Linked DNA regions of Caenorhabditis elegans. The protein of the gene in region 2 purifies or fractionates together with the protein of the main gene of each other region. This does not show direct contact. Each region holds a gene or a part of one and is shown on either strand. Other genes may lie near its edges.

Region 1 (3,754 bases), on a different chromosome or scaffold from region 2:
CGAAAAAATGGGTCTTTTTTCGAAATTTTAACTTAAAAATCGATTTTCTCACGTTTTTTCTCATTTTTTATCGTTTAAACTACATAAAAATGCATTTTAGGCCAATTTACGACGTAAAAAGCCGTTTTCTATGTGAAAAAGTGTTAGAAAATCCAATTTTAAAGTTAAAATTTGAAAAAAAAACGAAAAAAAGAAACCTAAGTCTGAAGAAAGGCCCATTTTTTTTTGCAATTTCCCAAAATTTCTAATTTTTTTCCAGATCCTCCACCCCCGCAACCCATCTGGAAATGGAAGACACCGCTTCCTACTCGGTCTCCAACAATGACGTCACTTTTGCGCGAAAAAAGAACTACGGAGCCGAATCTTCAAGCGATACTCGTCCACTTTTACAGCTCCGTGACGCCGATAACGAGGAGAATAAATATAAACGGCGCCCGACGATGGATTGGATGCGCGGGCTCTGGAGAGCAAAACATGGCGGCTCCGGGGTCCCACAGGAACGGGCTTCCGCGAAAAAAATCGCGCTTTTCGTGATTTTCCTGGCCGTTTTGGCTTTGATTACGGTTGGATTTTAAAAAGCGACTTTTATAGACTCAAAAACGCCAAAAAAATATTTTTTCCCTGAAAAAATGGCCTAATTTTAGCTAAAATACATCAATTTCGCCGACTTTTCCGTGTTGCATCTGTCGGAAATTCGCTTTTATTTGATTTTATCACAGTTTATTTTCAATTTTTATCGTTTTTCTCACGTTTTTTTCGTTATTTAGTGTACATTTGAAGCATATAAACCGAAAACGACGTGAGGGCGGAGCCTAAACCGCAATCCTGCGGCGCGATGTTTCGCAACTCCACCGCGCGACTATTTTTTACAAGTTTTTAAGTTTTTTTTCGCATTTTTCGAATAAAATTTCCAGTATATCGTGATTTTTTCGAGATATTTCGATAAAATCTCATGAAAAAAAAATTTCGACTGACAAAAAAACAGCGCGGCGGAGTTGCGAAATCGCGCGCCGCAGAATTGCGGTCCAGACCCCGCCCACAATTTTTTGCGCTCAACGTCTGCCGTGTGGCTTAAAATGTACATTAAATAGCGAAAAAATGTGTAATAAACAATAAAAATATAAAATAAACGATGAAATTTCATGAAAATAAAATATAAGTCAATTTCCGACCGCTGCGACACGGAAAAGTCGGCGAAATTGGTGTATTTTAGCTAAAATTGAGCGATTTTGAGTATTTTTAAGCGAATTTTGAGCTTTTTGAGCAAATTTTGAGTGTTTTTAATCAAATTTCGCAAATTTTGAGTCATTTTGATCAAATTTTAAGGCTTTTTGAGCAAATTTATTGTCTTTTTGAGCAATTTTTTGAGTATTTTAGAGCAATTTTTGAGTATTTTTGAAGGAAATGTTAAGGCTTTTTGATCAAAGTTTGACTTTTTTTGAGTGAATTTTGAGTATTTTTGAGCGAATTTTATGGCTTTTTAAGCAAATTTTGAGTGTTTATGAGTCTTATCAAGCAAATTTAGATTCTAACTTCATTTAATTCCAAATAAATTGTATTTTTCCAGATTATAATGGTGATGAAGCGTGCCGGATACAGCGGCGAGCACTCATCGGACCCCCTTTTCGATCCAATGGCCAATCCGAATATTCGCGTCGCCGTCGAAGATTCTCGTCTTCCACACGTCTAAAAAATTTTTTTTTTTGAAAAAAATGTGCATATCCTTCCCTTTCTGTGTAATATTCAATGTCTACTCATTCCCCAACGAAAAAAAAAGTTTTTCGAAAAATTTTTTATTTTTACTTTCGCCTGCTAATGATGCTAACAAACGGGATTTTTTCTGATTTTTTTCGATTTTTTTCGCTAAAAACTAGCTAAAACTAGCTAAAACTTGGTTGTAATTAATTATTAATTATTTATTCTTTTTTTTTGCCCTATTTCTTGTATATTCGGTGGTTTAAATGGTATTTATTGATTTTTTTTCCTCTAAAAATTGAAATTCGGTTAATTTTCTACCGAGATTTATATTTATTTTCTCTCAATTTTTCGGAAAAAATTTCAGGAAGTAATTGCAATTTCAGAGCACCATGCATCGCGTCGGTGGACAAATTGTCCGCGGAGTGTCGAAGGCTCAACAGAAGAGATCGCTTTCGGTGGCGGCTCCGGCTCCACCGAAAAAGGTGAAAAAACTGGAATTTTCGGCGGAAAAATTGAAGAAAAATGGATTTGGCAAAAAAATAACGAATTAACTAGCGAGAAATTCAAAAAAAAAGCTTAATTTCATCTACAATCTCCAATTTTCCATCATTTTCCATTTAAAATTAGTGCCAGAATATAGAAAATCGCTCGATTTATCGGAAAATCACTTTGATTTTAGCTGAAATGTTGGAGAAAGCGCTCAAAAAGACAGTTTTGAGCTTTTTCTCAACTGTTTCATCCGAAATTAATGTGATTTTCTCGATGAATCGAGTGATTTTCTATATTTTGGCACTAATTATTAATTGAAAATTTTACAAAATACATGGTGCAATGATGTTTTACTAAAATCAAAAATGTTTTCGTTTTTCAATTAAAAAAATCGAAAAATTCCGTTTTTCGGTTCGAAAAATCAAAAATTTTTAGATTTTTCCTTTAAAAAACGGAAAATTTAGTTTTTTTAATTTCCGAAAAAAGAACAAATCGAAAAAGTACGTTATTTAATTTAAACAAAAATCTAAATTTCTTCGTTTTTCAATTGAAAAAAAAATCGTTATTTCCTGTAAAAAAATCAAAAATTTAGTTTTTCGGTTCAAAAATCGGAATTTTTTCGATTTTTCCTGTAAACATCGAATTTTTTTTTAAATGCTCGATTTTCTCTGACAATTTTTTTTACAAAAAAATAAAAATTATTCGATTTTTCCTGTAAAAAATCTAATTTTTTTTTTCAATTAAAATGATCGAAACATTTCGTTTTTAAATTTATCAACAAAAAAAACATAAAATGAAAAAAGCACGTTTTTCAATTAAAAAAAAATCGAAAAATTACGTTTTTCAATTTTAAAAAATCTAATTTTCCTGTAAAAAATCTAAAAATTTAGCTTTCAGTTCAAAAAATCAGAATTTTTTCGATGATTTTTCCTGTAAAAAATCGAAAATTCGTTTTTTTTTCAATTTTTAAAAATATATCGTAAATATATATTTTTCGATTTTCCGGAACCTAAAAACCCAACATTTTTTTCAATTAAAAAAAAAAAAAAACGAAACAAATTTCTTCCATTTTCCGAAAACAAAAAACTTAAAAAAAAAATTTTTTTTCGATTTTCAAATAAAAAAAATCGAAATTTTTCGATTTTCCCTGTAAAAATCAACAAAAAAACCACTAAAAATCACCTCATTTTCTTCCAGGTCGAAGTCTTCATCGACGACAAAAAAGTGCTCGTCGACCCGGGAATGACGATTCTCCAAGCGTGCGCGCTCGTCGGCGTCGACATCCCACGCTTCTGCTATCACGACCGTCTCTCAATTGCCGGAAACTGCCGAATGTGTCTGGTAGAGGTGGAGAAGTCGGTGAAGCCTGTCGCATCATGTGCGATGCCTGTCATGAACGGAATGAAAGTCAAAACCAACTCGGATTTCGTGAAAAAAGCTCGCGAAGGGGTGATGGAGTTCATGCTCAACAACCATCCACTCGACTGCCCGATTTGTGATCAAGGTGGCGAATGTGATCTACAGGATCAGGCGATGAATTTCGGATCCGATCGTGGGCGGCTTCAGT
Region 2 (3,754 bases):
TCTTTGCCACGTCGTCTCGCATTTTTGGTGGCGAATCCTGAGCTTTTTTTGAATCAGTACACATACTTTTTCTTTCTGGGAATAGCACGTGCTAACTGTGAGACGATACGAAAACAAAAATGGCAAGAGACGAAGAGAAATCAAGTAGAACCGTACTATATAAAGACCTGTTTATCCTTTGCCATACGAAACAAAAAAGAAACGTGCGTTGCTGCCGGTGGGACGACACATAAAGAGAAATAAAGAATGTGTGGGAAAATCAATCTTCTACTGCTGGCCGGTGACCAACATTTTTAAAGAGCACCACAAACACGTGCTGCTCTCTAGTTCTCCAAGCAGTTGTTTACACATTCGAAAACGCTCTCACAGAGCAAAAAGTCGCACAAAATAAGGTCTCCCTGGATTTCCCCGTTCACAAATTACCGAAATATTACTTTTATTTTCCGACAACAGTTTATAAAATGGATGAAAGTTCACGATTTTAGGTTACAAAAAGAGGAACAAAATAAAAAAAGACAGAACAGTGAAAGGTAATAATGGTAAAATTCGGTTAAACAACAAAGAAATTAAATTTAGTGAAAACTTTTTTAAATCATTGATTCGAGATTCTTCGGAGGAATTAGGGTTGCAAATTGATGTTGTGGAGAAGATACTGTATGGTCTTGGATCTTCCACAATTTAGTGCGGAGAAGCAGAACGGCTGCGAGAACGGCTTCGAGAGCGGGAGCGACTCTTCGAGTGAGAACGATCACGTTCTTGAGGAGATCGAGATCTGAAATTTCTCATTTAAATTTAAATAACTATATCCAAAACTCTTACCTTGAACGAGTACGTTCTCTTTCGCGACTGCGTTCACGACTGCGATCTCTGCTTCGGTCACGACTGCGATCACGGCTTCTGTCGCGGCTGCGATCACGTCCACGATCACGAGAGCGTGAACGGGAACGTCCACGGTCTCCTCGGTATGGCGATCTGAAATAAACAATGTTAAAACATTCCGAATATTGCATATTTGTCGAATACATCTTTCCTGCAGATGGCAGCATAAAGAAAGGTAGATGTAACTTTCTTACTGAATGGGAAGATTCAGCCGACGAAGGCATGATGAGACGATTTTGTCAGAAGCTCGATTCAGGAACTACTGCGGAGAATTAACTGATGAAAAGAGTCAAAAACAATTCTGGTGCGATGATTTTGGGAGAAGTAAAGGGCGCGTAGCGATGTGGAAGAGAAGAATGTGTCGTGAAGACAGAAGACGGAGAGGAGTGGAAGATAGTGATGTTTGGGATGGCAGATGGGGACGCGGACGAGCGGAGTCCGCTAAAATTAAAAATTTGGTCCACGGTTTTACCGAATAAAATTTTTAATACAGCTCTCTTTTCCTTTAACTATCAAATTATTTTCAACTAACCTGTCTCTTCCGCCACCACCTCGGCCGCCGAAACCTCCACCACGACCGCCACCGCCACGTCTTTGTCCAGTTGAAAGTTCAACACGAGCACGGACACCACAGATTCTTCTATAATTTTGAAGCATTAAACGAATATCCAAAGCAAACAACTTACGATCCGTCAAGAGCGCGGACAGCATCTTCAGCGTCACGAACGTCGTCGTATTCCACGAACGCAAATCCAGGAGGGCGACGAGCTACCCAAACCTTACGGATCCTTCCAAATCGATCAAAAATCTCTTCGAGCTGAAAAATGTATATTTACATAATTACTGTTAATGGCTCAAGATTGAACTCACTTCTTGTGATGTTGCATCACTCGGCAGACCGCCGACGTACACCTTGGCGTCCATACTGAAAAATCAAATTAATTTATGAAGTTGCAAAAGAACGAAGTTTGAATATTCAAAAAATAATTATTGAGAAACAAAAATAAGTGTGAAACGGAGATAGCTCGAGAGCAACGCGCGCGAAATGATTTCAATAAACGCGACGCAGCTGCTCGCGATGCGTGTAGTACGGTAACACTTGTTTCAGCTGTGCAGATTTCCTAATGTCGGGGTGAGATAACGGCGCGAATTCGAACGAAAATTTCAGTTGCAATTAATCTTTTTGATAAATGCATTTTATAAATAAGCCGAATTTGTTGCACTGTATAACGGATACATGTATTAATACAGAAATTGTGCAATAAAAAGTAAACTCGAATGCATCACATTTACACTTAATTTTTTAAAGCATGCCTTGTTGCATGTTTCCACTAAAATATGTTTTATAAAAAAACCGAAATGATAACTATCTTCTGAAAATATACATACAAATGTGAAAGTAGAATTGTGCTGAATTTATTTCTAAGTAGAAATAGCAAAACCAGTCAAAGTTTCAATTGATTTTTATATATCAATTGCAAATTTATGAACCAGATTATCAAATTAAAATTATTTGCTCAAACACAAAAAACATAGACAAGCCATTAAACCAGCTAAGCAACACATTTCGCCTCCTCCTCCCCCGTGCTCCCGTTCACGATGATGATGATGGTGATGGCAGTCGTCAACTCTGAAAGAAATAAGTCAATATTATTAATTTTTCGCGAAATATCGAATAGAACTCACATGACAGTTTGAGGCTGTTGATAATATACTGCATATGCTGGTTGAACGCCTTGTCCGATGGGAACACCGGGTTGTACTGTGTAGACACCTTGTGGAGGTTGTGGATATGCGTTATAAGCCTTGAATCATTTTCGGTTTAGTTTTTTTCAAAGATCGAACTCACTTGATTGTAAGGTGGCGGTGGTGGTGGTGCGCCGCTCATTGTCAAATACTGAAAATATAGTGATAAGAGAATGACGATTCAAAGACGACGAGTTTATAAAATACTCCTTTTCCTTATTTGCCTTTCGCTGATTCATCTAGAAGTGAAGTGACGAAACTTAGTTATCATTTTAATCGGGTTGAATATAAAGTAAAAGACCAGTCACACCTTTTTATTGCATTTGACATGAAAATAATGATAAATTATAATTGTTATAAGTTAAATCATGCTCTACACATTTAGAAAATCCGGTTTAGAATCGGTTCGCAGAAAATTATATTTTTTGTACGTAGATTCAGATTGAAGTTGGCGATATAAAGCAACTGCCAGTACAATGATAAGAATGACAAAAAATGAGAAGAAATTTGATATTTGTTGGGTAGATTGCGCAACTTCAAGTTGTTCTAGTAGGTTGAATTTGAGATCCTTTGAGTGATAAAGCATTGCTCCTAGAGCCCATTGCATTTCTTCACCGGCTATTTTCAGAACACTCTGAAAATATTTATCTTGAATGTAAGATGTGTCTTTAAAAATTCATACCTGAAACAAATGCTTGGTTTTATCCACATTAAAACCGTCATGAAGTACACTGGTCACCCAAGCAGCTTTGAAACAGTTTGTTCCAAGTCGTTCAATGTCAGCGTTGGGAAATTCATTTCTTTTGAATCCATCTTGAATATCATTCCAATCTTTTTGGCAGTATTTTCGAACTTCGTCCGTAAATTTTTGATAATGATATTCGCCACCAGATCCGAAATTGCTTGTCGTATACCAGTATTCTGAGAAGCCATACAATTGAACAGTTGATAGGTTAACTGATGGAGCAATCACGTTACGTAGGAAACATGTTGGGTTTGGACAAGAAGGTTGAGCTTTATCACCGATTAAAGATGATACTTGTGCAAGACAAACGTCCCATTCTCCGGTACCCTGTAAATTTGAATAAATTTGAAAAAATAGTAGTTTCTAAACTTACATTAACTGTGA
Region 3 (3,754 bases), 9.6 Mb from region 2:
TTTGAATTATCAATGTCTATTCAATTAGACCAAGATTTCATTACCGTATCTAGTTATATTTCAAATTATAGACTTTATCTCGTAAAGTTTCTTCAAGTAAGAAAGGATGTGTTGCTTTTTTTTGCATTATATTGTTCTCAGTAATTATTTTTTCATTAATACAACTGAAGCAGTAAAATTTTTTTGGCTGATGAAATTTTCAATACTCTCCATAATATCGAATTGTTTGAATTGCAAATGCATTAGTGAAGGATCGCTTGGTCCATGCGATAAACGACCGGAGAAGTAGATGACCAGGAACGTCATGAGATTCCGAAAATTTGAACTTGAAATCCTTGCCACGTGCATCTACGTGTCCAAAGCGGCGAAGCTGAAAACAGCGTTCAAAAATAACATGGGAGATGACGCAAACTACCACAAATGAGCCCAACTGTCTTTCAGAAAGTTCCGAATAGTAACGGTCAAACCAAGCTGGAAAATTATAAAAATTTTTAAACCTCTGTTCATAATAGATGACCGAGCTTTCTTTTTTTTCTCGCATCTCAAAAAAAAGAACAAATAATTTATTCGTGTTACAAGCTTCAAAGCTCGTATTTTTCGCATTGTTTCCAGGAGCCATTTTTCAACTTAACAAACTTCCACATACATTCCGAATCGAATTTAGCAGAAAAGTATTTTTCAAATTCTGTCATATTTCTTTTCCGGACAGCAGACTGTATTTTCATAAGCATTGTGTCAATTGCTCGGTCTACCGTGATATTTCTTGCAACATAAGCCGTCTATAAAATAACTGGAAAATTTAATAATCGTTTTTTCAAACTCACAGTTTTTTCGATACTTTGGAAAAGAACAATGAAAAACAAGATGGTAAAACCGAATAGACAACCAAACTTCATTGATGTTGAATGAAAAGTTTTAGTCAGAAAACTGTCGGTTTTAGGTGCAGCTTTGATTGAGGCGAACAAAACAAAATTCAAAGGTTTTATTGATATGATAATTTTATTTGTCCGCGATCAGCTAAAGATGTAAATAGTTTTTTCTTGACAATTGACGTAGAAGAAGAGAAAAATATGAAGAAACTGAAAGATGCGAACAAATACTTTAATAATTCTGGGCAAAACTTGGAAATTTTATGAAACTTTAAAAAAATAATATTTGTGCATTGATACCTTTCGCTGAAACACTAGTGTTTGAAAAAATCAGATAAAAGTTTGGCAAATTATATTCTCATGCTCGTCTGTTTTTTTCAAAATGTAATTTTGAAAGTAAATCTTGGGGAACAAAACATTATCCTTTTCAGCTGGTACAGTTTTTTGTAGGAATTACAGTTTTCTTCTCCTGAAAACTAAAACGATATTAAAAATTTTATAAACACTTTTTTCGAGTACAAATAGGTTTTAGTTACATGTTTGATAAACTTTCATAAATTAACTCGCGAAATCATAATGTTGTTTGTTTGAAATCTAGGCCAATACCAAAACCAAAATTGGCATGAGACAAGTTTTCAATTAGAACACTTTTTTCTATACTATCATCAAATGTTCCTCAAGTTTTAATGCCCGTTAGGTTGCACTTTTATTTTGTCTTTGCCTCCTCACAAGTTTTTCTTGTTAATGAGTAGTTGTGAACATACTCATCAAGTATCGGTTGCCATGGAAAAATAACTCACACATTTCAGAGTCTTTCTCGAGATACAACTTTCATTTTATTTATTTTCTACCAAATGAACAAGCTTATCACTGTCATCCGAGATTTCTCATATAGTGTTTATAATTGGTGCTACGAAACTGTAATAGGGTAATTTTCATTTTCATGATCTTCTGAAACGTTACAAAAAAAAGTTTCTTTAATTTTCTTACTGTAGCAGGTTCCAAAAAACTTTAAAAAATTTAAGTAATAAACTGAATAGTTTTTCTATTAACAGGTATGTCCATTATACTTGATAGTATGAATGAAAGTTTGTAATATTTTTCTCGTCAGTATACTCCATCAAGTGTAGTTGTCGCTACTGCGAACGAGTTTTTTAAAATTTTAAAAGAACTGCCTTATCGATAAAGTCATAAAATAATTATATTTTTGAGGAGTTTAATAAACAAAACGTTTTTGTTCCCTTTGAAAGTCATTTAATATTTCAGGGAAAATACTCGGAAGTACAAGATGACATGGAAAGTTCCAAAGGAATCTTTGAAAATTATTGTTAACAAGAATGCAGATGCGGTAATAAAATTCAAATTACCAGTAAATGCGTCTTTAAATTTAGAGAATGCAACGTGAACTTGAAAATAGAACAGCAAAAGATGAAGCAAATGCTTTAACATCACGACGAAGGGTATTTGGCTCATATGCTCTAATTGGCACCCAAAGAGCAGAGTTTATTCAGTTTCGACAAATTAAACATATCGATATCACTAATGCTTCTTTAGACTTTTTGTATAACTTAAAGCAACTGAAACATGACAATCTGGCAAACTTCTATGGTATTCAATTGAATGATGATCTCAACACAATGACAATTTTACACGCATTAGTGGAACGAGGAACACTGGAGGTACAAGACTTACATTTCTCAGTAATTAGAAAATCAGGCTAATTCAAGGAATTTTGTTTGGATCGAGATTTCGGTATGGATGAAACGTTCAAATCCGCATTTATGAGAGATATTTTGAAGGTAACATTTTGCGTTATTCATTAGACTCCATGAACAACTGAAGATTAAAAAAAATAATTCTATAATAAAAATCACAAATCGATTGTTAATTCAAGGGTCTTCAATATCTTCACCTATCTCCTGTTGCGTATCACGGTCATCTTCACGCAGCCACTTGCCTAATAGATATAAATTGGGTACTGAAAATTGCATTATATGGGGTCACAAACTTTGTGTGTGATAACTTCGACGCAGAAAATATAACGATGCCAGATAGAAGTGACTATACTAGTGAGTAATTCAAAACAATGTGCAAAAAAGCCAGACAACAATTTCTAAAATAGCTGATTGCGGGAAAAATTGGAAGCTGACAATAGCCGGAAATCTACAATTATCAATTTCTACACCTATTTGACTTGAATTTTCTTGAAAAATTTGTATCTTTCAATCAGAAACTGTTTTACCTGTTCACGCCGTTACTTCAACCACAACATTTACACTGAAAAACAAAGTATATTTTTATTTTTTGAAAAATAATGTTTAAAAGTTCCGAAAAACAACAATTTTGGCAATTTCCGAATTTGCCGATGACCGAAAATTTTTGGTTGCCACCTACCCCAAGAATATATGCCTTCTTTTCTTATTTTCAGTATCTTACGCGCAGTATGTGTGTTTTCCGCCGGAGCATATTCGAGAATATGATGCTACTGGAAAACTGCCAACCAGATTTGTAAGAGGCAGTAAACAAGGCGATATTTATTGCGTTGGAATGATTTTTTATATGATGATCGAACGTGAAGATCCATATCGACTGATTCACTCAGTTGAGCGACCGGGTTCTGGTAAGTTAGTTGAGAAGTTGCAATGGGTCAAAATGAGTCGACTCGCAAACAAATGAAGACCAAATCAAATGAAACTCAAATGAGGACCGTTAAATATGACAAACTAGGATGTTCTTTGACTTGCCGCAATATAACCTCCTTGCTAATATGCCTAACTCAAAGAGCTTTGTCACCTTTATGCTTGGTCTAGAAAAGCATCAGGGAAATTTATCTTAAGGTCTCATGATGGAAATTCTTGATCACAATCTCATGCCATTCATTTCAA

Evidence for each region.
Region 1: the proteins of rsp-6 (region 2) and nuo-5 fractionate together in Caenorhabditis elegans (co-fractionation; one large-scale study listed by BioGRID). This does not show direct contact.
Region 3: the proteins of rsp-6 (region 2) and gcy-27 fractionate together in Caenorhabditis elegans (co-fractionation; one large-scale study listed by BioGRID). This does not show direct contact.

What each region holds. Positions count from the first base shown.
Region 1 is NC_003283.11:2,696,891-2,700,644, forward strand, and holds the start of nuo-5 (NADH-ubiquinone oxidoreductase 75 kDa subunit, mitochondrial), read left to right. Parts: upstream 1-2,081; 5' UTR 2,082-2,087; coding exon 2,088-2,180; intron 2,181-3,384; coding exon 3,385-3,754. Other genes in the region: Y45G12B.2 (Zinc finger protein-like 1 homolog), read left to right, coding at 260-563, 1,568-1,690.
Region 2 is NC_003282.8:7,789,426-7,793,179, forward strand, and holds rsp-6 (putative splicing factor, arginine/serine-rich 6), read right to left. Parts: upstream 1,805-3,754; 5' UTR 1,804-1,804; coding exon 1,750-1,803; intron 1,697-1,749; coding exon 1,566-1,696; intron 1,520-1,565; coding exon 1,412-1,519; exon of another isoform or gene 973-1,411; coding exon 820-972; intron 773-819; coding exon 679-772; 3' UTR 422-678; downstream 1-421. Other genes in the region: imp-3 (IntraMembrane Protease (IMPAS) family), read right to left, coding at 1-64; C33H5.13 (CYSTM domain-containing protein), read right to left, coding at 2,389-2,509, 2,566-2,684, 2,729-2,767; Nucleoside-triphosphatase ntp-1, read right to left, coding at 2,999-3,259, 3,308-3,697, 3,744-3,754. UniProt on the Caenorhabditis elegans protein: Plays a functionally redundant role in shifting germ cell sexual differentiation in hermaprodites. Required for the development of somatic gonad structures and for progression from larval stage to adulthood.
Region 3 is NC_003282.8:17,434,601-17,438,354, reverse strand, and holds the start of gcy-27 (Receptor-type guanylate cyclase gcy-27), read left to right. Parts: upstream 1-1,723; coding exon 1,724-1,797; intron 1,798-2,135; coding exon 2,136-2,217; intron 2,218-2,260; coding exon 2,261-2,548; intron 2,549-2,596; coding exon 2,597-2,668; intron 2,669-2,763; coding exon 2,764-2,938; intron 2,939-3,297; coding exon 3,298-3,489; intron 3,490-3,706; coding exon 3,707-3,754. Other genes in the region: C06A12.8 (RxLR effector protein), read right to left, coding at 200-370, 416-471, 647-779, 825-896. UniProt on the Caenorhabditis elegans protein: Guanylate cyclase involved in the production of the second messenger cGMP. May be involved in sensitivity to quinine by regulating egl-4 activity through the production of cGMP.